Linked DNA regions of Xenopus tropicalis. The protein of the gene in region 4 purifies or fractionates together with the protein of the main gene of each other region. This does not show direct contact. Links are inferred from orthologs where the notes say so. Each region holds a gene or a part of one and is shown on either strand. Other genes may lie near its edges.

Region 1 (4,156 bases), on a different chromosome or scaffold from region 4:
CAGAAAGCCTTACAACTGGTGCACGTACATTCCAGAGCCCCAACACTGCACAGAGAATGTATAATGGATACCGGCTAATGCCCCAGCTGAGCTAACACTCCAACTTCCCTGCAACAAACACACGTGCAATGCTCCCATTCAAAAGCAGCCAAACTAGCAGTATATGCTGGACTATGGCAGGCAGCCCAATCACACAAAACCTTTCTTTTAACAGAACCCCATTCAGAACCCTTACTATCATGTGACTTAAGCCATGTTTAAATCATGCACCTTTACGCTAGCCATACATGGTGAGATCCGCTCCCCAAGCGAGTGGATCTTCTCCCGATATCCCCACCCACGGGTGGACGATATTGGGCTAATTTGGCCCTGGGGCCAAAAGATTGAATAAGAATGGCGGGTATAAGGTGCTGTCGGTTCAGGGACTGCGTCAACAAGCCAACGCGGACCATGATCCAACGGAGAAACCAAACCAGCACAAACATCTGGCCAATTTCAGGGCCTCAGTCGGGGAGGCCCATTGTTCGTACCCATACACGAGCAGATAAGCCACCGAATCGGTCTAAAGGACCAATATCAGCAGCTAGAATTGGCCTGTTTATTGCCACCTTTACCCCCCTTGTTTCTTTGCCAAGACCTTTCAGTAAAACACAGATTAGTGCATTGGTGTTTGTGCCCACTTCTGTCTGATTCTGACCTCAACTGCACAGGCTCCTGGCCAACAACCGCCCCAAGAGAGCTGGACATCAAGCGGCCAGAGACGGCAGCCATTGCTAATTTTTAATACAGAAAATTTGCTGCACTTTGTTTTTTCCAAGTTCTAGTTGTGCATCCCAAGATGGCAGCCCCCATTGCCACTACACAACTCTGCATCTGTTTAACAGGCACAGGGCAGATCTGGGCAGTATGGGTGGGATGGAAACCTCTGCAGGGGGTACATGATACACACATGGGTTTCCTTGTCCTTTAAAACACCATACAATTATTTTTTAAAACCGTTACAGGCAGCACTCCATAATAGCATTAAAATGACTATTATCACTACAACGGCAACAGCAACATTTTGAGCCTTATTGGCTCTCTATCAAGCTTGGGGTGTTATATTGATATTATGGCTGCAAGTGTCCAGGAGTGGGGGCCCCTGCTGGATGTGCACCCATTGCTGAATCGTGCTACTGAGTGAGTTTTAAGGTCCCCATACACGGGCCGATTCTAGCTGCTGATATGGGTCCCTTAGACCGATTCGGCAGCTAATCTGCCCGTGTATGGGCACTACCGACGGGCCTGCCCGACCGATATCTGGTCTGAAATCGGGCAGATCTCGATCGGGCAGGTTAGAAAATCTAGTTGGATCGGGGACCACATTGGCTAGTTGATGCAGTCCCCGGACCGACTTTGCCTATACCCGTCGTTATAATTCAAGTCAAATTAGCCTAGATTCTCCCGATATCGCCCACCCGTAGGTGGGGGATATTGGGAGAAGATCCGCTGGCTTGACCACATCGCCAAACGAGCGAATCTGAAGGTGTATGGCCACCTTTACCTACTGGTTTGCAATTTTTTTCCTTCAGATGAATCCAATTTACCAGCGCTGCTCATAGTTACACATGCAAGAGTGTCTGGGTCACAATTACGTAGGACAAAACGCTCACAATTAAAATGAATCCACAATCTGTTAGTCGGAGTAGCAGCTCACCCTAACATTGCCTTTAGTACAGTGATCCCCAACCAGTGGCTCAGGGCAACATGTTGCTCCCCAACCCCTTGGATGTTGCTCTCAGTGCCCCCAAACCAGGGAGTTATTTTTGAATTCCTGACTTGGGGGCAAGTTTTGGTTGAATAAAAACAAGATTTCCTACCAAATAAAGCCCCTGTAAGCTGATAGGGTGCATAGAGGTGCCTAATAGCCAATCACAGCCCTTATTTGGCTGAACATTTATGGTGCTTGTGTTGCTCCCCAAGTCTTTTTACATTTGGCTGTGTCTCACAAGTAAGAAAGGTTGGGGACCCCTCAGACAAAGTATTCCTACTACAACTCGCACTTGTGTTTTTTTTTAGTTTTCCTGCTTTTTAATGACTTGCGATTTGTTCTCCGGCTAGGAATTTAAAATGGTTGCCTGGTTACTAAGGCCCCACGTTCCCTAGCAACTACACCGCAGTCTGAATGACAAATGATAAACATACGGGGAAACCCAATAGAAAGATACATAATAAACAATATATGCCCAGCCTCCATACTACAATTTAGGGTTCCTAGGTCAGCATTGAAATGCAGCACTAAAACAGTTAAACACACAATATCATGAAAATAAAGACCAACTGCAAACTGATAGTCCCCCTCTGTCACCACTTGTTGCTGAACTACAGCTCCCAGCATTCCTAGCAGCTGGAGAGTAGAAGGACAGGTGGAGAGGCACAAGTTGGAATGACCCCCACTCCGGCTCCCCATGTGACCAGGCGGCCCTCCCGCCGTTTCCAGGGCTTCTAGGGCCCTGACTCTCCCAGCGCAGTGGGATTGGGATAAAGCAGCGCTAACTCACCCGGCCCGGCCCCGGCGTACATGTCTGCGGCCCCAAGAGCGAAGTGCGAGGGGGAAAATAAAGTTCCAGACACAGGGGGTAACGCAGCCAGTCCCGCCCCCTTCGCTGTGCACAGAACCCCTCAGAGAGCGGCCAGTCAGTCCGTTAGGGCTCCATGGTGTAAGGCACGGTGTGTGGGAGGGAATACGCCGAGTTCCCGCCTCTCGCTTCTCTCGCTTCTTTCCTTTTTTTTCTCTTTCTTTTGCGCGACATGAACTGAGGGGAAAACGGCCGGCGGACAGAGGCTGGGGGGCGGGACACGCAACGTCAAGGGGCGGGAACTCGGCGCATTGGAGGGAAGGGGGTGACGTCACACGACGCGGGCGGAGCTCTGGCCGGGGAGAAAAGGGAAAGCGGCTGTTGCTGGGCGGAGCTTTTTTCCTCTTTAGCTTGTAATAGAAATAAGGGGGAGGGGGCGGGGCCAGACGCGGCGGGTTTGGTTATTTTTCAACAATAATGAGCGGCGCTGGGTTACTCGCCGGAAGTGAGTGCTCTGCCATATTGGGTATGGGCAAATCGATAAAGCGCTAAACTTTGCCTTTGCCCGCGAACTGTGTTTATCCGAGGGCTTAAAGCGATTACATTGACGGACAATGGACTGTTTATGTCTGGTCTTCGTCATCTGCATTTTGTCTGTTAGGCTGAGCAGCCCCATAAGCCATACACCCTGTAATAAATATAATGACTATACGGTTCTGCGTTTGTGACCAATATTTGAAGGGCATTTTTTTTTTTAGAATTTCTTTATTATTTGATTTCTTTTGGAAATGTAAAATACTGTCTGGTTGCTAAGGTGAGTGGTACCCAGTAACCAGACAGCAGTGTATAGATTATTTCTTCTCATGGATGGACCTGGGCTAACAGTTAAGGTGGCCATACACTTAAGATCTGATTGTTTGGCGAGGATCTTCCCCCAATATGCCCACCGACGGGTGGTTAGACGGCAGTAACAGGCACTGTCGGATCCCACAGAAATATCAAACCTGCTCAATTGAAAGCTGGCCAATTTCAGCCAGATGTTGGTCGGGTGCCCAAACTTGGGCAGATAAGCTGCTGAATTGGTCTAAAGAACCATTATTGGCAGATGAAATTGGCCCGTGTATGGTCACTTTCAATGTTACACACCTTGTATTTTTCCACTGATATGAAGGCGCCCAACCCTTTCCTAGTGCTATCTAATGTATCTGCCATTACCAGCCCTTCAGGGAAAGAATCCCACAATTTCTTTTTTTTTTTTTTGTATTTTAACTTTTTTATTGATCATAAAACATTACAGTCAATGATTCACAAAGTTGTGTGTGGTTACATCAATAAAGTATACAAGTATGATTCATTGTGTATCATTCCTTTAGGGAAGGGGGGAGGAGGTAATGGGAGGGCGTTAGGGGGGTTGTGCGGGTCGGGGTCTTGCTTTCTCAGAGTCCTGAGCTGCTGGGAGGTGTAAAGTAAAAGTCAAAAGATGTATACATAAGGAAAACGAATGGTGTTGTAACTTCTCGAACTAAAACCAAACTGGGTGGGGTGCCTCTGAGAAGTTAACCCAGGGGTGGGCAAACTTTTTGGCTCAGGGTCCACAT
Region 2 (3,500 bases), on a different chromosome or scaffold from region 4:
GGTTTGAATATAAAATATTAAATAAAATAGACAACTGTAAATTCATGCAAATAGAATACATTTTCTACAAAATGAAGACTACAGAGTTTTTAAAGGGCAAATAAAAACCAACTTTGAAATAAATCTTCTCTGCCGTTACTTTTGAAAAGCTGCTACACAATAGCTTTTCTGTAACAGCTCAGCCAGGCTGTGTTCATTTCAGTGCTCACTTATGGTGACGATGGTTGTAAGCTCCATTCCTATTCTGTTCTGTTGGAATTTGTGCAGCACCGTCTTCATGCTTGAGCAAGTAATAGCTACTCAAAGTTAACTGTTTGCAGTTATGATCTGTAAGCCATTTTCACATACCAGTGAAGTCATTAGAATGGGTTTACAGACAAAAGTCACCAGAGAAAAGGCTGATACTCAGAAGTTCTTTAGCAGCAGCTTTATAAAAAGGTTCAACAGCAGGAGTGTTTAAAACTGCCTTGCCATTATGGCAAGAATAACTGAAGCGAAAAAAACATAACCATTTCCTCAGTTTTGACTAATGCTCATGGCCACATAAGAGGCCAAACTACTAACCTGGAGGATGTGTCATATAGGAAAAGTGTGCAGTTGAGACAGGAATGGGCTGTAGGGCACTTTGAGCAAGAGCAGCTTGAGGCCCCCCAGGTGGTTGAGCAGTCATCAACATCATGGGATGAGCAGTTGGATGAGAAGGAACCATTCCAGACTGTACATGTGCCTGCATTAATACATTTATAGGAATGTATAAATGTTGCACTATAACCAGAGAAAATCCCAGGTGTGTTATTACTACTGTCTTCACTTACCGGTAACCCCTTTTATAAAAAAAAGGATTTTATTCTGATCACAAAATGCATGAAATATTTTTTATCAGATAACATCACAGGTCTGTTTCCAGAATATCTCTCATGTTACAAACATATTTAAAGGAGAGATAGATAGATGATAGATAGATATATAGAGATAGATAGATGAGACACAGATTAAAGCTTGAAGAGCTTTGAAGACCAACAATTATTGCATTGTACACGGATTATTTATACCATTATGAAATTACACATAACTGATTACCTGTTGCACATGGGCCATGTGAGGCGGATTGGTATATGCTGCTTGGACATGTGATGGGTGAATGGTAAACACAGTCTGTTGAGTTGGGAAGCTGCTTTGTGGGGACTGTGCGTTGGAGCCTGGTGTCATGGCAGGGGGCGTTGGAGCAAGTCCTGCATGGTAAATTGCAGACTGCTGCTGTTGGTTAGCCAGATGCAGAGCTTGTGATGCCTGATGTTGATGGTGCTGTAATCATTTAGCAAAGCAAGGGGGGGGGGGGGGGGGTTTAGGAATATATTAATTTATTCATACATACAGGCAGGCAGGCAAACAATTACACAATAAGATAAGAATTTATTTAAAAATTTAAGTGTGACAACACCCCCTAAAAAGGTGCAAATTAAGAAGTTTGTAAATATGTGTAGGTTTCCTCCCACACTCAAACATACAGGCAGATCAACTGGTTCCTTCTAAACTGACCATAGTGAATGTGATAGAGACCTTAGACTGTAGGCTCCACTGGGGCAGTGACTGGATGATGTATTCATCCAAAGGCAAAGAGGCACAGTAAGACATGAAATCTATTAAAATGGCCAGTTAAGATTCAAAATTTATACCATACCCAGCAATAGGACATAGGGAAACTGGGGGTGGCTTGTTAAATATGGAAAATATAGAAAATCTAACAATTTACTGGAAAGGAAGTAAACTTACGAGCATCCTCTCCTTCACCATCGACTAAGACCACAACATACAGTATCAGAAACACACACAAAGTTCAAGAGATGCACGTTCAAACAACTCCATTAGCTCACCTGAACTGGACTTGGAGCTGGGTGACTTCCCCCATGTTGACTTTGCTGTTGGCCGGTAGGAGTTGCTGAAGGCTGAGGATGAGGTGGGTGTGGGTGCAGGGCTGCATTTGGGTGAGCATACTGCTGTGCTAATGAGCTAGTTGAAACTAAAAGTATAAAAAAAAAAAAAAAAAAAAAAAATTGAAAACTGTACCATTTTCTAAAGACAAAAAGGTCTACGGATGTTACCATGCATGTTAAACGAACAATGGAGGTGTAACACTCTGTACCCATTAATATATTTATCCCCCAATAAAAACAGCACTTAATGTTAGAGTAATATTTATCAAGGGATGCACTGTGACCAGACCATGGTTGCATATTTATAACAGTGTAAAGGTATAGGGATGACATGCCTTATCTGAAAAAAACGGTTATTGAGAAAACTGCAGGTTACAGGAAGGACATCTCCCATAGACTCAATATTAAGCAAATAATAAATCAGTAGCTTGTACTTAATGGTAACTCGGCTGCATGAATCCATATTAGTGACAAAATAATCCTACTAGGTTTACTTCATGTTTAAAGGATTTTTAGCAGACTTAAGTTGTAGTGGTCAAAATCACTGAACAATCCCCCATCCAGAACACTCTAGGTCCCTAACATTCCAGACAACAGAGCCCATACCTACAGTTTGCTACTGGTGCAGTTGCATTCCAGTTACAATCCATTCCTTATTTTAAACCAAAAGGCAGTGCATTTTTTTTTTTAATCTTCAGGTTGGCTTGAACTCACTAATCTACCCAACAAAGAATAAATACTGGCATGCATTTAACACCATAGTTTTAGTAAATACTGCCTAACTCAAGTGTGTCCAACCTTCTTAAAATACTAACTGGGCCAAATAATTTTCAAGTTTGCTTCAAATTTCAACAATTGACAGATCAACAGAAAAAACACATTTTGCAATAAACAGTTTACAGCAGATTAGTTTGCATATTTGGGTACTTACCATACATGGTATGAGTTTGTTCAGGAGTGGCATACTGTGCAGCGGAGGAGGATACAAGGCCAGCCTGTGCATGAGATGGTGGTGCCATCATTCTTGTGTTCCCCTGTATCACAGGACTATATACATGTGGGTGCTGAAATACACAAAATAGTGGAAAGATATATTTTAAATAAATAAAATAAATTGGAAAAAAGAAACATTTTAAAATTATTTTTTTTAAAAGTTGCAAAAAAAAAGTAAAAGAAGTGACTGGGCCAATTTAATTTAGACCTGCAAAATTTAATAGGAGAGACTTAAAAAGAAAACATTTTGTGCTTTTCAAATGGCTGGGATTCCTAGTTCTTCTGACATTGGACAGATGCCGAATAACAAAGGCTATACAAAGAACTGCACATCATACCAATAATATAATGCAATGGAACATGGCAAGCCAGAGCGTCACTGCACAATGCAAGCTTCAGTGACCCCACCACACAATGTACCTGTTTAGGAGAGCCAGGTATGGCTGGTGCTCTAAGAAGGAACAGGTACACTGCAGTATGTGCAAAGTTATCCTTTTTCAAGCTGCGCAATGGATGAGTGGGTCTTGTAATGTGCAGCATTACGCAATATTATGTACATACATGCCAAGTTCT
Region 3 (3,500 bases), on a different chromosome or scaffold from region 4:
TTATACATATGGGTAGGAGGTGCCATAGTGTTTCCCTTAGACAGTACAGTATGGGGGTACAGCTTATTGTGTGCCCAGAACATTCCTTCTCTGTATATTTGTATTTATACATATGGGTAGGGGGTGCCATAGTGTTTCCCTTAGACAGTACAGTATGGGGGTACAGCTTATTGTGTGCCCAGAACATTCCTTCTCTGTATATTTGTATTTATACATATGGGTAGGAGGTGCCATAGTGTTTCCCTTAGACAGTACAGTATGGGGGTACAGCTTATTGTGTGCCCAGAACATTCCTTCTCTGTATATTTGTATTTTTACATATGGGAGGGAGGTGCCATAGTGTTTCCCTTAGACAGTACAGTATGGGGGTACAGCTTATTGTGTGCCCAGAACATTCCTTCTTTGTATATTTGTATTTATACATATGGGAGGGAGGTGCCATAGTGTTTCCCTTAGACAGTACAGTATGGGGGTACAGCTTATTGTGTGCCCAGAACATTCCTTCTCTGTATATTTGTATTTATACATATGGGTAGGGGGTGCCATAGTGTTTCCCTTAGACAGTACAGTATGGGGGTACAGCTTATTGTGTGCCCAGAACATTCCTTCTCTGTATATTTGTATTTGTCCAATCAATAATATGTAGACCCACACTGATTATCAATATTTGCCGCCTTCATATGGTACATTATAGCCCAGTCCCACATGGTCCATTTTGGGTTCAGTAGGAACATGTGGATAATAATTTCCAATTACTCACAGAGTTTATTCTGTGAGTGGAAGGTCTTCCTTGGGGGACGTTACTCGCTGCTAATTCTCACCCCATATTTATATAGCCCTGACATGTATACGCAGAGCTTTACAGGCCTTTCCCTTACTACTCTATGCTGGGAGATGCCCAATCACATACACAGAGCTGCTGCACAGGGAATGCTCAGTGGCTCTTAAGTAACACAGCAGAACCAGTGCCACTGGGCACATCCGGGCAATGTCATAAAAATAAGACTTTTAATATCCCTTATATTTCCATTCCCAGCTTAACTCAGCAGGAGCAACTGAAAGCCCAACAGGGAGCTGCCAGCGGAGTCTCTCCAATGCCCCTGGGCACAGGGGATGGGAAGGGGGCAGATATACTGCAGATGTTAACCAAAGCCAAGGATGAGTACACCAAGGTGAGTGTGGAGAATACAATCCCGTATATCTGTCTGTCTGTCTATCTATCTGTCTGTCTGTCTGTCTTTCTGTCTGTCTATCATCTATCTATTTAATCTGTCTATCTATCATCTATCTATTTAATCTATCTATCTAGCTATCTGTCTATAATCTCTCTATCTGTCTGCCTATCTGTCTATCTGTCTATCTATCTATCTATCTATCTATCATCTATCTATTTAATCTGTCTATCTAGCTGTCTATCATCTATCTATCATCTATCTATTTAATCTGTCTATCATCTATCTATTTAATCTGTCTATCTAGCTATCTGTCTATAATCTATCTGTCTGTCTATCTATCTATCTATCTATCTATCTATCTATCTATCATCTATCTCTCTATATCTAGCTCTCTCTTAGTAGGTCTTCCACTGGCATATTATTGAGTTCTGTCTATCATCTATCTATTTAATCTATCTATCTAGCTATCTGTCTATCATCTATCTATCTGTCTATCATCTATCTATCTGTCTCTATCTATCTGTCTATCTATCTATCATCTATCTCTCTATATCTAGCTCTCTCTTAGTAGGTCTTCCACTGGCATATTATTGAGTTCTGTCTATCATCTATCTGTCTGCCTATCTATCTATCTATCTATCTATCTATCATCTATCTATCATCTATCTATCTATCTATCTATCTATCTATCATCTATCTATTTAATCTGTATGTCTGTCCATCTATCTATCTATCTGTCTGTCTGTCTATCTGTCTGTCTATCTATCTATCATCTATCTATTTAATCTGTCTATCTATCTAGCTGTCTATCTAGCTGTCTATCTGTCTATCATCTATCTATCATCTATCTATTTAATCTGTCTATCTATCTGTCTATCATCTATCTATCTATCTGTCTATCATCTATCTATCTGTCTCTATCTATCTATCATCTATCTCTCTATATCTAGCTCTCTCTTAGTAGGTCTTCCACTGGCATATTATTGAGTTCTGTCTATCATCTATCTATCTGTCTGCCTATCTATCTATCTATCTATCATCTATCTATTTAATCTATCTATCTATCATCTATCTATCATCTATCTCTATCATCTATCTATTTAATCTGTCTGTCTGTCCATCTATCTATCTATCTGTCTATCTATCTATCTATCTATCTATCTATCTATCTATCTATCTATCTATCTATCTATCTATCATCTATCTATTTAATCTGTCTATCTATCTAGCTATCTGTCTATAATCTGCCTATCTGTCTATCTATCTGTCTATCTGTCTGTCTATCTGTCTGGCTATCTGTCTGTCTATCTGTCTGTCTATCTGTCTGTCTATCTGTCTGTCTATCTGTCTGTCTGTCTGTCTGTCTGTCTGTCTGTCTGTCTGTCTGTCTGTCTGTCTATCTGTCTGTCTATCTGTCTGTCTATCTGTCTATCTATCTATCTATCTATCATCTATCTCTCTATATCTAGCTCTCTCTTAGTATGTCTTCCACTGGCATATTATTGAGTTCTGTCTATCATCTATCTATCTGTCTGTCTGTCTATCTATCTCTATCATCTATCTATTTAATCTCTCTATCTATCTATCTATCATCTATCTCTGTCATCTATCTATAAAATCTATCTATCTATCAATCTATCATCCATCTATCTATCTATCTATCTATCTATCTATCTATCTATCTCTCTATATCTAGCTCTCTCTTAGTAGGTCTTCCACTGGCATATTATTGAGTTGACAATACAGTGACTTTTTGTATATGCTGGAACAGTGGCAGTGGCCAAATTACTAAAAAAATATGGTTGCCTGTTTAAAGGAAAACTAAGCCTACTACGAGTCAGGAAACTGTTGGTTTCAGAAAGCAAGTGCAAATGTTTCCGTACCCACTTGTGAGAGATGGAAGTGTCTGATTGTTGTGTTTCTTTGCACAGTGCAAGTCGTGCTCCGAGCCCAAGATGATCACCAGCTCATCGGCCATCTACACCAACCCCAACCTCATCAAGCCCATTGCTGTTAAACCCAGTGAGTCCCAGCCGGGAAAGGTGAGAGCGTTAGAGGTGAGAGCAGTAGGGGCTTAGGGTTGTGCTTTCCTAACTGTGACCCACCTAGAAGGGAGCAGTGGCCTACCCTAAAGGTCCCCATACACGGGCCGATAGTAGCTGCCGATATGGGTCCCTTAGACAGACTCGGCAGCTAATCGGCCCCTGTAGGGGCACTAACGACTGGCCTGCCCGACCAATTTCTGACCTGAAATCGGGCAGATATCGATCAGGCAGGTTAAAAAATCTAGTCGGATCGGGGACCGCATCGGCTCGTTGATGCAGC
Region 4 (3,500 bases):
CAGTACAAAATATTTACAGCACTTTAATTGTTCTATGGTGCTCAGCAGAGTGGTTTTTAAACCTGTGGGAAGTATGGCCAATATATGCCATGCTGAGTTTAAATGTTAACATGTATATGATACATGAAATATTTGATATAAATGACATTTTAACATTTATTTCCCATTGTTATCTATAAATCAGTTGTATATAGTTGGTCCAAACCTATAAGTTGTACATAGGCACACATTTCACCTTACAACAGTACTTGGCTAATGCCAGCACCCACACTGATATACTTTCTATGAAACAAGGAAACACTAATCGGACACTATTACAGCAATAACTATCAAGCATGGAAAGTGTACATAAAAAACCTATATGAACAGTAAAAATCAATACAAAGCAAAAGCTACAATACTAAGTGTAATAAACACAGAATACTACATAATCAAGCCTAACTGCAATAGAAAATGATGCTGAACACAGCATATGAAATTAGTTATACATTGCTGTATAGCAAAATATAATATATATCCTAAAATGGCAAAACTATGTGTGATTTACCTCAGTTGTTGAACAGTTTAAGGCATTTGTATCTGAGTTCCATTTTTTTTAGGTGTAATACATTCTTGCTCGTGCAAACAGTCCCCGCTCTTGGACATACGTGTGTGCGTTCCCGTGTGGCTGCTCGCTATCGCTCGCACCCCCACCCCCCCGTGACGTCAGGGGGCACCACGTCGCGACGGGGGTTACGGCGAACGCGCAGTCGCGCTTCTTGCACGAACGTATGTCCAGGAATTCGGACTGCACGAGCAAGACTGTATTAGAGTGTGGAGTGCTGGCGCAGGAGCCCATGCACGTGTATCCAGGGGGGGGTTTGAGTGCACGTTAAAGCGCGAAGGTATGCCCAGGAGAGGGGGTTCAAATAATCATTACCGCATATACTCCAGCCTACGCAGAATGTCCAGGGGAAGGGGGTTCAATAAATAATTAACGTATAAAATAGGTATGTCCAGGGGAGGGGGTTCAATATATATACTCGAGTATAAGCCGAGGTGGCCTTTTTGAGCTCATTTTGGGAGCTGAAAAACTCGGCTTATACTCGAGTATATACGGTAGATGTTTGCCAATGCCATGAAGGTGCCTTCTTCCACACTGTCAGGGATTGGCACATGTTGATTAACATTGGGTTGGAGGAAGGCATGATGGCATTTACAAAAGGATAGCTTACGATGCCAGTTATGTAGGCATAGTCACATGTTCTTGTTAAATTGAGAACATTTTTACTATCCCTTTAATTACCCTAGCGTTCAGTAGCTTTGAGATAGAGATATATATATATATATATATATATAGCTGTGTAACTTTTTCAGTCTGGAAAGAAGTAAAGTATAAATGCTATTACCAAGTAGTTTAAAGTAAATTTTAAGTTGACCTTTCCCTTTAAAGGAACAGTAACACCAAAAAATGAAAGTGTATAAAAGTAACTAAAATGCAATGTGCTGCTGCCCTGCACTGGTAAAAGTTGTGTGTTTACTTCAGAAAGTCTACTATAATTTATATAAATAAGCTATGTAGCCATGGAGGCAGCCATTCAAAGGAGAAAAGGCACAGGCACATAGCAGATAACAGATAAAACACTACTGTACTCTACAGAACTTATCTGTTATCTGCTATGTAACCTGTGCCTTTTCTCCTTTTTTCCAGCTTGAATGGCTGCCCCCATGGCTACACAGCAGCTTATTATATAAATTTACCAGTACAGGGCAACAGTGCATTATATTTTTATTACTTTAAAGCTATTTCATTTTTTGGAGTTACTGTTCCTTTAAGACAAACTCGTTGAAAAAATCAATTGTGCTTTTGACATTTTTATGTTTAGGATCTTTTGTTAGAGATTACTGCAGGGGACATAATATATAACAAACTTATTTGTCACTTTTGGTGCAAAAGAGATGTTGTTAGTTGCAGCAAGGACGTTTTGTGTCTAGTCCTTTCTACTTTAGTACCTTTAGTTTTGAGTGAAGGCAATATATTTGCATTAAAAGACCAGTGTTCTAAAAAAAAAAAAAAAAAAACTAAAAAAAAAAAACCTAAGCTGACTGGTGCAGATTTAAGACTACATTTTAGAGCAAAGACAAATAGGGCGATAAATCTAGTTGCAGAGACTAAATGCTACCTCTAAGTTGCAGTGACTTGTATTGCACAGTCGTGGCAACTTGTATATTTTACACTAGTTAGTTGCTGCGGCTGTGTTTAGTCTCTGTGACTGGGGGTTTCTCGAAAGCTGCAGCTACTTATTGCCCCCTCTGTCTTCACCCATAGCTTTTTACAGTCTGCAAAGTTGTGTTTGAGACTCCCAGTGTCTCTTGGTTTCAAGCTTGTGGAAGTGTTTCCCACTATCCATAAATGCATAGTAAATAGAACCTGGCAACAGGGCTTCCTCATTTAAGGTATATTAATAATTTAATTTTTTTTTTCTATTCTAGATTGACTTGAAGGAACGGACTTTATTCTTAGTTTTGGGCTTTTTTTAATAAAGGAAATTGATTTTGTGCACCAGAGCAAGTGATTTCACTGTTGACAGACTTTAAGGACAAGCACTTGCTTGTGTTGCAATAACAAAGACTCATATATTGAGCAAGACTTTATCTCTTCATTTCGAAGAGTCAAATAAACTTATTACAGTCTCTGTACTGACTTTAAACCTTGTGAAGCTGAAAAGACACACCTTCAAAGGGACAATTTAATTAAATACAAAACAAAATGAGCACCGCCAGAACCGAGAACCCTGTTTTAATGGGTATGTCCAGCCAGAATGGGCAGCTAAGAGGCCCATTGAAACCCAGTGCAGGGCCTGGAGGTGGGGGGACACAGACACAACAAATAAACCAGCTGAAAAATGCCAGCACAATCAACAGTGGCAGTCAGCAGCAAGCACAGAGCATGAGCAGCGTTATAAAGTGAGTATACTCTACCTTTGTTTTATCACCACTTATAAAAACCTTATTTGGGCCTCTGGTTTATCCATGTTTTATTTTTAAGAAAACAAAACATGCTATTCATAATAATGGAAGTGTCCTGAGATGTGTATTTGTAATGTCTAGTCTTTTGTACAATTGCTTAGTCATCTTGGAATCTTCTGCAGGTTTGTGTAGTAGCACTTTGTAGTATATGGCGCTTGTTATTAAAATTGAACTGCATAGTTATTACAGACATGCATTTACAACTGCTGACATGACTTGCCTTTAAATAGTGGCCAGAAGTGGTCTTCAAAGCAAAACTCTATATTGGTTTTGTCTGCACCCTTTTCATACATTGGGCCACAAATCCATTACATCAAATGTCTGTGGTCAAATATGCTCTGGCCATAATAAGCACATAATAGCACAGTCTATTGTTAGGGTAATCTACAAATGTTCATGTATAGGAATAACTTATAACGCAAATATGTGCCATCATACATTTTACTGATGTTTAATAATACATTTGAACTATTTTGTTTACTTGCAGACCT
Region 5 (4,168 bases), about 14 Mb from region 4:
AATGTATATATTTCAAAGAAATTAAACTATAATGTACTGCTGCCCTGCACTGGTAAAAGTTGTGTGTTTGCTTCAGAAACATTACTAGAGTTTATATAAACCCTGGTGTGTAGCCATGGGGGCAGCCATTCAAAAGAAGAAAAGGCACAGGTTATATAGCAGCTAACAGATAAATCCTGTAGAATACAATGGTGTCTTATCTGTTATCGGCTATGTGCCTGTGCCTTTTCTCCAGCTTGAATGGCTGCCCCCATGGCTACACAGAAGCTTATTTATATAAACTATAGTAGTGTTTCTGAAGCAAACACCCCAGTTTTACCAGCGCAGGGCCACAGTACATTATATTTCAATTACTTTAAAACACTTTCATTTTTTGGTGTTACTGTTCCTTTAATAGACCAGTAATCAGTCAGTGTTGAACCATGAATTGTCAGCTCATACATCATTATTGATCTGACCTAACCAGTCAGAAAGACTAATTCATATTATTTAATTCTCATTTGCTTTTGTGGAGTTTTATTAAAATTATATGAGATAGATTTTAATGTGTCTTAAACTATCACATTTATATTAGTATTTGCGATGTGCATGCTGTTATTGCAGCTATGGAGCATACTGCAAGTTAGGCTGTGCAAGTGTACTGCTGATGTGACTATTCCCGCTATTATTAAAGCCCATTTATAAAACACTAATATACTCTGCTGTGTAATGTATTTGGGAAAATATAAGCAATAAGGCAGAAATTACACCATTGCGAAGAAACAAACAGAAATCAAGACATGAGGTCGGGGGGGCCTGCCCGTTAGACAATCCGAGGATTAGGAAATAAGCAATACGCCATACTTCCATAAAACCTTGGATTTGGACTCAGCGCCATAACAATAGACAGAGTCCGTTGCCTAAGCACAACCCCTTATATGAGTGATCTGGTATCATTACCTTCAGCTCATAAGGGCTGATGTGCCGGGAAACAGCTGAACTAAACACAAGTCAAATATTGAGGTACCTGCCCAATAGTTTATTGCATTTATCCTACCCCCCACACCTTACACTTTATTGATCACTGTTTATATCAGCCTTAGAGCTCAACAGCTACATCCCATCCAATAATGCAGACGCTAGAGGCAGAGACTAATCCCTCCAATCCTGTTATTGACATCTGCCTTAGCCAATAAGATTACAGAAGGAACACATCCAAACAGAGCGCGTCGATTCTTGATTGACAAGCCATTCGACCATACAACTGCAGAGTTTTTTACTAAACCCGTAGACTGACAAGCCAATTGACCAATAGGATAATAGCCAGGGCGGGATGTCTGCGATGATTAACCCGTCTGTAAGGCCATTGCCAGGCAGTTCGATCGGTAGCGGGAGCGGAGAGCGGACAGCAGGGAGCTCGAAAGGCAGCAGCCCCACCGCCGGCCTGAGTTACCATCAACACCCCGGGGGGAAGTTAAAGCGAGCCAACCGCCGGCCCGAGTCACCACCTCCGAAAGCAGCCAACTTACACCATCAAAGACACAATGAGCAGCGAGGTTGAAACACAACAGCAGCAGACAGTCGCATTGGAGGGCAAGGCCGGCCAGGAACCGGCGGCCACCGTGGGGGAGAAGAAGGTCATCGGTAAGTACGATTGAATTAGCATACGAGAGATGCCTCTCGGACACAGGCAGGGCTGGGTATTTGGCGCGTCAGGCTCAATATGACTACTACTCCCAGCATCCCCTGTGCAGTCACGTTGGTTAAGGCGATTACTAGATATTTGCACAAACAGGCGCGGTTATCTGTTTATTTATAGTGTGAGGGAGCGGTTTTCGCTTTTACTATAGGGCGCGGGTGAGTGGCGGTTACACCGACGTGGAGTGTCGTGCCACGCGGAGTTGTTGGTGACGGATCTCTGCCCCCCCCGGCGCCGTGACATCACCCCCCCCCCCGCAGCGCCGTGACATCATCCCTTCCTGTGTCCTGAGAGGAATAGGGCCTGTAACATGTCCGCCGCCGCCTGCGGCCTACACCCCCCCCACCTCCTCTTTTGTATGCCGCCGCGCCTTTGCTGGGTCCCCAGTAGCGCCTCTGGCCTCACGTTTGCTTTGCAAACATACGGGGGAGTGTGAGGGCCGTGATGGCGCTGGGAATTGGCGGCTCCGTGTGTCCCGGCTGCTCGGGTTGCGGCTCTGGCCCGGCTCCAGCCACGTGGTGTGTGAGTAGTTGTGGCACGGAGCTGCTCGTACCGCCTGGGCCTGAGCGGGAGGGGCATGAGAGCCATTTTAGTCTATCTTTGCACTCGGCTTGCTTAGTAGCAGCCTTTATAGCGCTTGGCAATAAACGGGGATTCTGGGAGTTGTAGTTTTTCATTTGAAAAAAAGAATTGACAACACTCTTATGGCCCCAAATAGCAATGTTTGTTTGCTGATGCCTTTAATTGTAATTCCGTGTGTTTATATAGCAGTGAGTGGGAATGCACACAACCAGTTGCATTACTTTCCCTCAGGAAATGTTGCTACCAGGGCCATGGGATAGGGCTTTGTTTTTGTTCCTCTTCCCCCATCCACCCCCATCCATCCTACTCAATGTAATTACTGTATAGCTGTGCCTGGCCCAGTAGCCATTGAAGTTGTATGTCCAGATAGCCATTAAACTAGCAGTGTTTATGTATTGCTTTGGCTTGTATCTCACTGGCTGCTGATCAATAAGTTGCATGTAACTAGTATTTATAATTTCTAATTATTTTTTTTTGTAAAAGTTAGCTTTCCAAACCACCACCCACCCCCTGTGTTTATGGTGCTACTGTGCTGCCAGAAAGTGATTGCTCTATTGTGCATATTAGATTGATCTTGTGCCTCACTCCAAACTAACGATTTTTTATTTTCTTTCAGCAACCAAGGTTTTGGGTACGGTCAAATGGTTTAATGTGCGCAATGGTTACGGCTTCATTAACAGGTGAGTTCATATTTCTGCCCCAACTTAGATTAGTAATTTGGTAAACTTGTTACAGCCTGCCTGACCCTTCGGGGCCATGCACGTGGTACTTCCCATAAATGCTTGTTTTAATATGGTTTAGCAAGTATATATTCCAGGATATGCGGTTAAGCAATACCAGAAGTTACTTAAATTACTTAACACTTGGGGAAGGCATAGTTTAAAAATGTTTTTATAGAGATGGGGAGCTGCTGTATTGCTTGCTTCCTAAGTAGCACTGCCTACCGGTTTCAGCGCTGTACTTCTATGAATGCCTGTGCCAAGAAAATGATCTTTGCCTGTCGCTGTTGTAGAAATTCAGATACACAACAAAAACAGTAATTGCACCCAGTAGCCAGGGCTGGCATGCTTTAATTCAGCTTTCCCTTATCCTTTCGACTGTATCTTAAGATTTTTCTGCTTTTTGAAAGGAAATGTACTTTTTTCACATAAACCAAATAAATCGGTTTGTTAAAAACAATTATATAAGATGGCTTCTTTCCTAAAATGTCAGAAATGAGCTATATGATGTGGGCTTTATGGAGAAAAAAAGGATGCTGGTTGAAATATATTTTCATTTGCCCATTCTTTGTCTAAAGGCAATGCTTTGTGGTTGGTAGAAAAAATGCCTTTCCAGCATTATTCCTATTTTTGTGCTTATGTTGCCTTTAGTGTTTGACCTATACATATAAATTAATTTGCACAGTACAAGCCTTTAATCTATTTTTGTTTTGTTTAGCTTTGTTGTGCTGTGAAAATTTCTACCTTTTGTCGTTAACATTTTGTTTTTATCCTTATAGGAATGACACCAAGGAAGATGTGTTTGTACACCAAGTAAGTATTCCACTTATCTGGGTTTTTTTTACAGATGTCTAGTCCAATCTAGTATAGAAAATGTATTCTATAACTTCTAATATGGTAACTTGTATTTGAGTATAGTGTTGATCAAAGCGGATTGCCTTGGTGTAATAAAAGAATGCATACTGAATAGAAAGTCATGACTGTTCCACAGTTGGATAGGACATTTTCCTACACCTTTTTATATTGCCATGGAACTAGATAGAGCAAAAGCAGATTTAATCAGTTTTCAGCATTTGTTCAGATTTCTTTTAATGTCTTTTTATTTAAAAAAAAAAATATATTTTTTTTAGACTGCCATCAAGAAGAATAACCCTAGGAAGTACCTTCGCAGTGTGGGAGATGGTGAAAC
Region 6 (4,159 bases), on a different chromosome or scaffold from region 4:
AGGGGGGGAGCAGGAGGAGGGAGAGAGCAGCATAGCCTCCAGGAATGGAGAATTTTTCTGAGAGAGGAAGTCAGATGCCCAAAAAACAGGTTTACAAAAAAAAGGAGACAAGAAACCCTGTGTTTCTTTTGATAGAGGAGTGCAGCTTTTCTGTGAGCGCTTATGTCTCCATCCCCTTTACTAGTTTAGTTGCAGTCTCTGCACTCTCTCCAGCTCATTAATATCCTTCTTAAAGACTGGAGCCCAAAACTGCACCCCATAATCAAGGTGAGGCCTTACCAGGGACCTATAAAGAGGCAAAATTATGTTTTCATCCCTTGAGTCAATGCCCATTTTATACAAGACAGCACTTTATTTGCTTTAGTAGCCACAGAATGACACTGCCTGGAATTAGACAACTTGTTATCTACAAAGATCCCCAGATCCTTCTCCATTAAAGATCCCCCCACTACATTACCATTTCATTATCCATCTCTACTTCATCCTTGATCTGGCTGCAGTCTGTAAAACTTAGTTTAGTTGTACATTAAGTAGCTGCTCTATTATGGGTGAAGACACAGACCTACTCGCAGTAGCTACTTGTCATTGCTACTAAAATAGACAATGCTGATCATTTACGGATAATCGTCTTTGTTTTAGCAAAGGCAATTCTCATTGTCTATGGCAGGGTATTTTCTGGCGCTTAGTAGCAGTGACATGTAGCTGCTACTTAGTAGCTCTGCCTTCACTCTTAAGGTTACTGTAAGAAAGTATATAAAGATAAAATTATATGGAGTCATAATATAATTCTTCTCTTTTTATAAACAGTCTTAAAGTGGCCATACAAACTAAGATCCACTCGTTTGGCGGATGGGCGATATCGGGCTAATTCGGTCGTTTGGCCCTGGGGTCAAACAATCAAATTACAACAACAGGTATGGGCGTCAGCCGATTCGGGGACCACATCAATGAGCCAATCCAGTCCCCAATTCCACTAAATTTCAAACCTGCCCGATCGGCAGGCCCGTCATTAGTGTCCATACATGGGTTGATAAGCTAGCGAATCGGCCTAAGGCACCAATATCGGCAGCTAGAATTGGCCCATGTAAAGGTCCCCATACACGGGCCGACTATAGCTGCCGATATCGGTCCTTTGGACCAATTCGGCAGCTAATCGGCCCGTGTATGGGCAGAACAGAGCGGCCTTGGGACCGATATCTGGCCTGAAATTGGCCAGATGTTGATCGACCAGGTTAAAAAATCCAGTCGGATCGGGGACCGCATCGGCTCGTTGATGCGGTCCCCGAACCGACTGCCCCATAACCACAAATGTAATCCGATTGTTTGGCCCCAGGGCCGGATTATTTTTTTTTTAAGCTAGTTTCTACCCGATATCGCCCACCTGTAGGTGGGGATATCGGGTGAAGATCCGCTCGCTTGGCGACATCGCCAAGCGAGCGGATCTTATAGTGTATGGGCACCTTTAGGCCATCTTAATTGATTGTGAATTATTAAATGCATTAGTTGCTCCTACTATTTATTAGTTGGTTACATTTTGCACTCACAAACACATCTGCATCTCATCCCTAAGCACAAACCCATCACCTTTCAGGAAAATTCATAACATTAAGCTTAAAGCACAGGCAACACCATATTACAAATCTTTACTGTTGCCTGACTAGACTGGTGGCACGCATGACGGTTTCTCAGCCTGCATATAAACACCCACGTGTGGCATTAGCCTTACACAGTATAATAGACAAGTACCAAAAAAAAATGAAACGTGGCACCAAATAACTACGACTAGTTCTAATTTTCAAACCTTCAGTCTACATGCATACTAGCACTTAGAAGGCAGCCATACACCTAAAGATCCAATTGTTTGCCAATCTTGCCGAAGGAGCGGCTCTTTCCCCAAAACGGCCACCTGGCCCTCGGGCCAACCACTGGATCATAGGCAAGGGGAACGCAGCCTTGACAAGCGAATGTGTTGCTCACCCCAATGGGATTCTTAAACCTGCCGATAGATCTCCATCAGGATATCTGTTATACACAGCAGATAAGCTGCAGATTCCATCGGAGAGGGCTGAATGTAGTGTTTCCCTGTGTGTCACAAGCACAAACACTTTATCAACTTTCTTGAACTTCTGTTGTTTCTGTCACCACCAGGGGATTACTGGGGAAATAGAGCCGATTAGCTGATTAGCAATTATGTGTTTCCCACATCTCCATGGCGATTTGGTTGGAAAGGTACCAGGCTGCAACCATAACAAAGATCTCTCCAACCAAAGCCCTAGGGTAACACAGCCAGATCCTGCCCCACAGACATTAATCAGCCACCAGTCCCCAATCAAGCACCAGCCTCCTGCTATAGGATATTTACGAAATATTTTGAAAGGGTGAGAATTCCCAGGTAAGAAACATCCCAATCCCAGGCCATGCCGCCGGGCACGTACTGTGGAGCCATGGGTCCCGCCGCGCAGCCTCACACACTTCAAATAAAATGACCTATCAAAGCCCACTTGGTATTTGGAAAGGATTCCGCTCATTCTTAGCGTCGCCCTACAAGCACAGTGAGACAGGCTGAAACCCCCGGCTGTGACTCGCCAGCTGGAGCGCTAGGGACGCCAAGCGGGGAGCGCTAGAGACAATAAAAGCGGCACAGCAAACCGCATAAGCGCGGAGAATGAGGGCTACAATGAGAAACATCAACTAAGCGCATGTAAATGTGCCAATTTATACAGCCCGTTCCCTTTTGGAGGTTCCGTTACTTCCGCTTTCTCACCCTTCTGCTGTATTTCTCCGGTTCCCAGCTGACCAGGCCCCGAACGGAAATGACATCAGAAGAGGCAGGCCTCCGCTAATAAATGACGCGCCCCTTAGCGGTGGTCACATGGTATAAGAGATGCCGGGCGAGTTAGAGCGATGCTCTGGTTACTAATGTTCCATGTAGTAGAACCATTAAAAAGTTAGACATATGCAGTGCTTTTCCGCGTCTTGTTTTTGTGCTTGCTGGAAATTATGAAGGCAGTGTGTGGGGCAAAGTTTGCTTATGGTGCAATAGCCTGAGTTGTGTCAGTGTCCATACTGGTGCTAAGTCCGGGGTTTCCAAGTATCTTTGCGTGGGCACCATAGTAGCTTTTATACATGCAAATACCAGTTATATGAATGGTTTCTATGGGTGCTCAATTTGTGCCCATTTGTAGCGTGTCATAATTGGTTGCATTGTAAATACTATCAGGGTGTGTTTAGGGCGCACGAATGTAAACATAGATTTGTCACGGTGCAACAAATCTCCCTTGTTGCGGGCGACCAATCTCCTGAAATGCTATCCCAGGTTCTGCATCGGCTTGTTGATGCGGTCCCCGATCTGACTGAATCTTTTAACCTGCCCAATTGATATCTGGCCAATTTCAGGCCAGATATCGGACAGGTATGGCCGTTGTTTCTGCCCCTACACAGGCCGATAAGCTGCCAAATCGGTCCAAGGGACCGATATCGGCAGCTACAATCGGCCCGTGTATGGCAGCCTTAAGGGCCGTGACAGACGGGGAGATTAGTCGCAGTGCAACAAATCTCCCTTGCTGTGGGCGACTAATCTCCCCGATATGCCATCCCACCGGCGATTTACATTCTAGCTGGTGGGACGGCATTTCGGGGAGTTAGGTTGTCCGTGACAAGGGAGATTTGTTGCACGGTAACTAATCTCTCCATGTGTCACAGCCCTAAAGGTTCTTTTGTCCATATTAGCATTTTCAAATTTCCATGGTGACATATACAACCTCACATTCTGTGTGATGTAATGAACATGTGCAATGACATCACTTCCTCCCAACTATGTCTCCTGAGTTGTGTGTTAGCCGGAGTGACTTGGCGTTGGCTCTTACTGTGCTTGCACACATTACTATACAGGTAATTGCACTAGCAAAACGATGTCTGCGGCTGCCCATTGTCACTTATATACTTCCTCTGGCACACTATTTCCAGGTGGTCATGGTGATAAAAAGCATTTCCCTTACATATCATTGGATAGTCTTATAGCTCTTTTACCTCAACCATGCAATCTATTCCATTTACATGTACAAGATGCCCATTATAGGTTATCACCATGGCAGCCTCTTATCAGGACATAGAAAGATTTTTTTGGAAAATAACCTATTCATAAGGGCAAGAACCCACA
Region 7 (4,157 bases), on a different chromosome or scaffold from region 4:
TACCCACTAACATTCATCTGTGCAGTTGGTCACATTTAAAAGTCAAGAATGTGTTTATGGTTTATAGTTCTATTAAAATCTTTCTTCCAGTCTTCTGCTCAAAGAGCTGCCTGGTTGCTGGGAGCCAGTTAGTCCAGTTAGTTAGACTCTAGCAGCCAGTTAGTCCCAATTCCAAACTAGGTCAAATCATGCAAAAAATATGATGGATATGAAATAAAGATTAACCACAAATTGCTATTTGCCATGTCCTTCTAAAACGTTAATGTCACAGGAACAGTCTCTTTAAACGTTAAAGGGGTGGTTCACCTTTGTTACCTTTTGGTATGTTATAAAACTGCCTAGTCTAAGCAACTTTTCAATTGGTCTTCATTATTTATTTCTTATCGTTTTTGATCTATTTGCCTTTTTTTTCTGCCTCTTTCCAGCTTTCAAATGGGGGTCACTGACCCCGGCAGCCAAAAACCTATTGTTCTGTGAGGCTCCAGTTTTATTGTTATTGTTACTTTTTCTAACTTGTTTTTCTCTCCAATTAAGTTACCATCCTCTCATTCAAATTGCTCCCTAGTCGCTAAGGTAATTTGGACCCTAGCAACGAAGTAGTTGCTAAATCTCCAAACTACAGAACTGCTGAACAAAAATTGAAATAACTAAAAAAAAACCACAAATAATAAAAAATGAAGACCAATTGCAAATTGTCTCAGTATATTACTCTCTACGTCATACTAAAAGTTATCTCAAAAGTGAACAACAATACTAAAACACAAGGATTTTATTTTAATCTTGATTGAATTCTAATCTATAAAGCCGGCCCAATGTTACCGTTGTCTCATCAATTGGGTGGTACAAAAGGTTTTGATCGGGCGCCCAAGCGTTTAGTGGTAGAATTCCTATTGTTTCTACCTCCATATCTGATAATTCAGACCTAAACGTCAACGGGGGGGCAAGAACGACCTGGTCGCAGGAATGATAGTAATTGTAACTTGTATTAAATGCTTAAATGGTGACTGCTGCAAAATCGCTGAACAAAATAGTTATAGTCGGAGCTATATCCCACCAATAATATGGCCGACCATCCACCATTACATACGTCCACTACGCGTTGCGACGCTTGCCGTGCTCTATCGAATTGCTTTTACGTCACCAGTTGCCGGGACTAGCCTTAGCCAATGGCTGCCTGAGACGTCACAGCCCTCCGTAAGGTAAAAAAACACAGGCACACGAATTGCGCAGCAACAAAGCTGCGGGTTCCGCTAAGCCCCACCCCCTGGCGTGTCGGGGCGGGGGAGGGCGGTGCCAGAGGTGTGGGTATAAAAGGTGCAGTAGTGGGCGGCCCCGGGGCAGTCTAGGGGACCCTGAGGAAATATTCGGGAGACAAGAGGGGCCAGAGGCCGAGCCGAGCATCATGAGCTCGGGAACCCCGTACATCGGCAGCAAGATCAGCCTGATCTCCAAGGCTCAGATCCGCTATGAAGGCATCCTGTATACCATCGATACCGAGAACTCCACCGTGGCCCTAGCCAAAGGTGCGCAGCGGGCCCCTCGGGTGCAATAGGGCTGACATTGGGCTTTTGGTCGGGGCAAGGCTGACACTTGCCGATGGCTAGCGGGGGATGCTGGGAGTCGTAGTCGCCAGTCCGGTGGGGGTAGGCGGAGTGTTGTTAGAGCCTGGTGCTTGTGGCGGTAGGTGGGGGGTAATTGGCGCAGGTGGAAAGGGGTAATTGGGGCAGGTGTCGGAGATTTGGGGTAATGTGACCGTGGAGCCCACACTGCCCCCTGCAGGAAGGACTGACCCATTAGCTTCAGCTCGTTAGTGGCCCTGCCTTCTGCCCTGTGATTCGCTGCTGGGTGGGGTAGAATGGTATTATTGTTATGGCTTCCAATTCTCCCACACTGCCCTCTGCTGGTAGGGGCCACTCATAGGGATTGCACTTCCCACCTATTCCCCTCTCTGCCATACCCACCCCAGTCTCTGCCCTTGTGCCCCCCTAGCCACCCCAGTCTCTGCCCTTGTGCCCCCCTAGCCACCCCAGTCTCTGCCCTTGTGCCCCCCTAGCCACCCCAGTCTCTGCCCTTGTGCCCCCCTAGCCACCCCAGTCTCTGCCCTTGTGCCCCCCTAGCCACCCCAGTCTCTGCCCTTGTGCCCCCCTAGCCACCCCAGTCTCTGCCCTTGTGCCCCCCTACCCGCCCTCTTGCCCAGGGGTTCCCAACCTGCTGTCCTCCAGGGCCTTTAGAACTACAACCTCCATCTTACCTGGACAGCAGGGGGAGACAAGATTCTGCCTCCAGTGCACCCCTTATATTATATTACCCGCCCCATACTAGATTCTGCCTCCAGTGCGCCCCTTATATTATACTACCCCCCCATACTAGATTCTGCCTCCAGTGTGCCCCTTATATTATACTACCCCCCCATACTAGATTCTGCCTCCAGTGCGCCCCTTATATTATACTACCCCCCCATACAAGATTCTGCCTCCAGTGTGCCCCTTATATTATACTACCCCCCCATACAAGATTCTGCCTCCAGTGTGCCCCTTATATTATACTACCCCCCCATACAAGATTCTGCCTCCAGTGTGCCCCTTATATTATACTACCCCCCCATACAAGATTCTGCCTCCAGTGTGCCCCTTATATTATACTACCCCCCCATACAAGATTCTGCCTCCAGTGTGCCCCTTATATTATACTACCCCCCCATACAAGATTCTGCCTCCAGTGCACCCCTTATATTATACTCCCCACCTCCACATGCCCTTTTATACTTCTACCCCCTCTCCCTATTGGCAGGGAGCTGCGTGCCTTTCTGGCAGTGCTGCAAAGCCCTGGCACATCCTCCCCTGCTCAGTTTAAAGACATTAAGGCACTAACGAGCTGCGAGTTGCTTGCGTTATAGATTGCAGTGGATCAACCCATCTCTGGGATCCCACAAACTGACATTTCCAGCCAAGTTCCTGCTCAGTCGTTGACTAATCTTCACTCTCTAATTATAATTAGTCCGCTCGTTTGGGACGGAAGATCGCCCGACTGACCGGCCAGCCCCGCCTCGGGAGGAAGTCTACGAGTATATCATTTTCCGCGGCAGCGATATTAAGGACATCACCGTATGTGAACCCCCAAAGGCTTCCCATGCTCTTCCGCAGGACCCGGCTATAGTCCAGGTATGTTGGGCCGGCGCCACTCATGCGCTTGGTCGTTTGAGTCTCCTATTTGTTTAATATGAATCTTTAATATGGTTTAAAGTCTACCTAGCAAGCTGTATTGTGCTGCTCCTGGCTGCTCAGTGCTGGGCTGGCCGGCACCTAGGGCAAGTGGCTGCAGGGGATCCACATACATTTAGAGCACATTGTTGCCCCCATCCCTGATACTCCAATGTGACGTCATTAATAAAGGGTAAGTGAGCTGGGGGGGGGGGTAGTCACATTTCTTGAGCCCCTTCCACCATTTTGTTCCTGGTATTCTTGGACTTTGCTGCTGTATCTGTCTGGCAAGGAAAGGGTTAGGGAGTATTTCTGGCTAATTGAGCGGCGCCGCTGGATTTGGTTCACGTTTATATAACCCTCGTGTCCTAGAATTCCCTGCTGTAGCAAATTTAATGATAGCGAGCGCCAAGGATGAGCGCTGTGGTGGGGGGGGGGTGAGTAAGCAGTAAATAGCTCCTAATGGGTGGGGAGGGGTAATGCCGTGGCTGGGGAGGCGCGGGACTGCCAGGGCAACCGGTTTGGGCCTATAATTAGCCAGGGGGCAATTAGCAGAAACCTAAAAACTGTTTATCAGTGGGCAATGGGCAGCGTAAGCTTGGGAGCCCTGGGTGGCATAAACCTGCCGAGCCGTGGCTAGAGCCTTACCCGCTATGGGCAGAGTAGGCTTGGGAGCCCTGGGTGGCATAAACCTGCCGAGCCGTGGCTAGAGCCTTACCCGCTATGGGCAGAGTAGGCTTGGGAGCCCTGGGTGGCATAAACCTGCCGAGCCGTGGCTAGAGCCTTACCCGCTATGGGCAGAGTAGGCTTGGGAGCCCTGGGTGGCATAAACCTGCCGAGCCGTGGCTAGAGCCTTACCCGCTATGGGCAGAGTAGGCTTGGGAGCCCTGGGTGGTTAATGGGTGCCATAAACCTGCTGAGCCGTGGCTAGAGCCTTACCCGCTATGGGCAGAGTAG

Evidence for each region.
Region 1: the proteins of ddx6 (region 4) and ago2 purify together in Homo sapiens (affinity purification with western blotting; 5 studies listed by BioGRID and IntAct, with this or other methods). This does not show direct contact. The link is inferred for Xenopus tropicalis from reciprocal best matches to the Homo sapiens genes DDX6 and AGO2.
Region 2: the proteins of ddx6 (region 4) and atxn2 purify together in Homo sapiens (affinity purification with mass spectrometry; 6 studies listed by BioGRID and IntAct, counting the BioPlex papers as one, with this or other methods). This does not show direct contact. The link is inferred for Xenopus tropicalis from reciprocal best matches to the Homo sapiens genes DDX6 and ATXN2.
Region 3: the proteins of ddx6 (region 4) and dcp1b purify together in Homo sapiens (affinity purification with mass spectrometry; 6 studies listed by BioGRID and IntAct, counting the BioPlex papers as one, with this or other methods). This does not show direct contact. The link is inferred for Xenopus tropicalis from reciprocal best matches to the Homo sapiens genes DDX6 and DCP1B.
Region 5: the proteins of ddx6 (region 4) and ybx1 purify together in Homo sapiens (co-immunoprecipitation; 4 studies listed by BioGRID and IntAct, with this or other methods). This does not show direct contact. The link is inferred for Xenopus tropicalis from reciprocal best matches to the Homo sapiens genes DDX6 and YBX1.
Region 6: the proteins of ddx6 (region 4) and mcrip1 purify together in Homo sapiens (affinity purification with mass spectrometry; 3 studies listed by BioGRID and IntAct, with this or other methods). This does not show direct contact. The link is inferred for Xenopus tropicalis from reciprocal best matches to the Homo sapiens genes DDX6 and MCRIP1.
Region 7: the proteins of ddx6 (region 4) and lsm14b purify together in Homo sapiens (affinity purification with mass spectrometry; 4 studies listed by BioGRID and IntAct, counting the BioPlex papers as one, with this or other methods). This does not show direct contact. The link is inferred for Xenopus tropicalis from reciprocal best matches to the Homo sapiens genes DDX6 and LSM14B.

What each region holds. Positions count from the first base shown.
Region 1 is NC_030682.2:146,755,608-146,759,763, reverse strand, and holds the start of ago2 (protein argonaute-2), read right to left. Parts: upstream 2,801-4,156; 5' UTR 2,563-2,800; coding exon 2,541-2,562; intron 1-2,540.
Region 2 is NC_030677.2:163,145,338-163,148,837, reverse strand, and holds part of atxn2 (ataxin-2), read right to left. Parts: intron 2,999-3,500; coding exon 2,866-2,998; intron 2,021-2,865; coding exon 1,875-2,020; intron 1,306-1,874; coding exon 1,081-1,305; intron 728-1,080; coding exon 565-727; intron 1-564. UniProt on the Homo sapiens protein: Involved in EGFR trafficking, acting as negative regulator of endocytic EGFR internalization at the plasma membrane.
Region 3 is NC_030679.2:9,162,395-9,165,894, forward strand, and holds part of dcp1b (mRNA-decapping enzyme 1B), read left to right. Parts: intron 1-1,036; coding exon 1,037-1,172; intron 1,173-3,106; coding exon 3,107-3,232; intron 3,233-3,500. UniProt on the Homo sapiens protein: May play a role in the degradation of mRNAs, both in normal mRNA turnover and in nonsense-mediated mRNA decay. May remove the 7-methyl guanine cap structure from mRNA molecules, yielding a 5'-phosphorylated mRNA fragment and 7m-GDP.
Region 4 is NC_030683.2:80,846,744-80,850,243, reverse strand, and holds part of ddx6 (probable ATP-dependent RNA helicase ddx6), read left to right. Parts: intron 1-2,472; 5' UTR 2,473-2,749; coding exon 2,750-2,946; intron 2,947-3,496; coding exon 3,497-3,500.
Region 5 is NC_030683.2:94,734,004-94,738,171, reverse strand, and holds the start of ybx1 (nuclease-sensitive element-binding protein 1), read left to right. Parts: upstream 1-1,368; 5' UTR 1,369-1,523; coding exon 1,524-1,623; intron 1,624-2,876; coding exon 2,877-2,940; intron 2,941-3,758; coding exon 3,759-3,792; intron 3,793-4,109; coding exon 4,110-4,168. UniProt on the Homo sapiens protein: DNA- and RNA-binding protein involved in various processes, such as translational repression, RNA stabilization, mRNA splicing, DNA repair and transcription regulation.
Region 6 is NC_030686.2:27,788,063-27,792,221, forward strand, and holds the start of mcrip1 (mapk-regulated corepressor-interacting protein 1), read right to left. Parts: upstream 2,801-4,159; 5' UTR 2,765-2,800; intron 2,720-2,764; exon of another isoform or gene 2,436-2,719; intron 2,083-2,435; exon of another isoform or gene 1,978-2,082; intron 1-1,977. UniProt on the Homo sapiens protein: The phosphorylation status of MCRIP1 functions as a molecular switch to regulate epithelial-mesenchymal transition. Unphosphorylated MCRIP1 binds to and inhibits the transcriptional corepressor CTBP(s).
Region 7 is NC_030686.2:4,395,869-4,400,025, forward strand, and holds the start of lsm14b (protein LSM14 homolog B), read left to right. Parts: upstream 1-1,357; 5' UTR 1,358-1,402; coding exon 1,403-1,523; intron 1,524-2,997; coding exon 2,998-3,161; intron 3,162-4,157. UniProt on the Homo sapiens protein: mRNA-binding protein essential for female fertility, oocyte meiotic maturation and the assembly of MARDO (mitochondria-associated ribonucleoprotein domain), a membraneless compartment that stores maternal mRNAs in oocytes.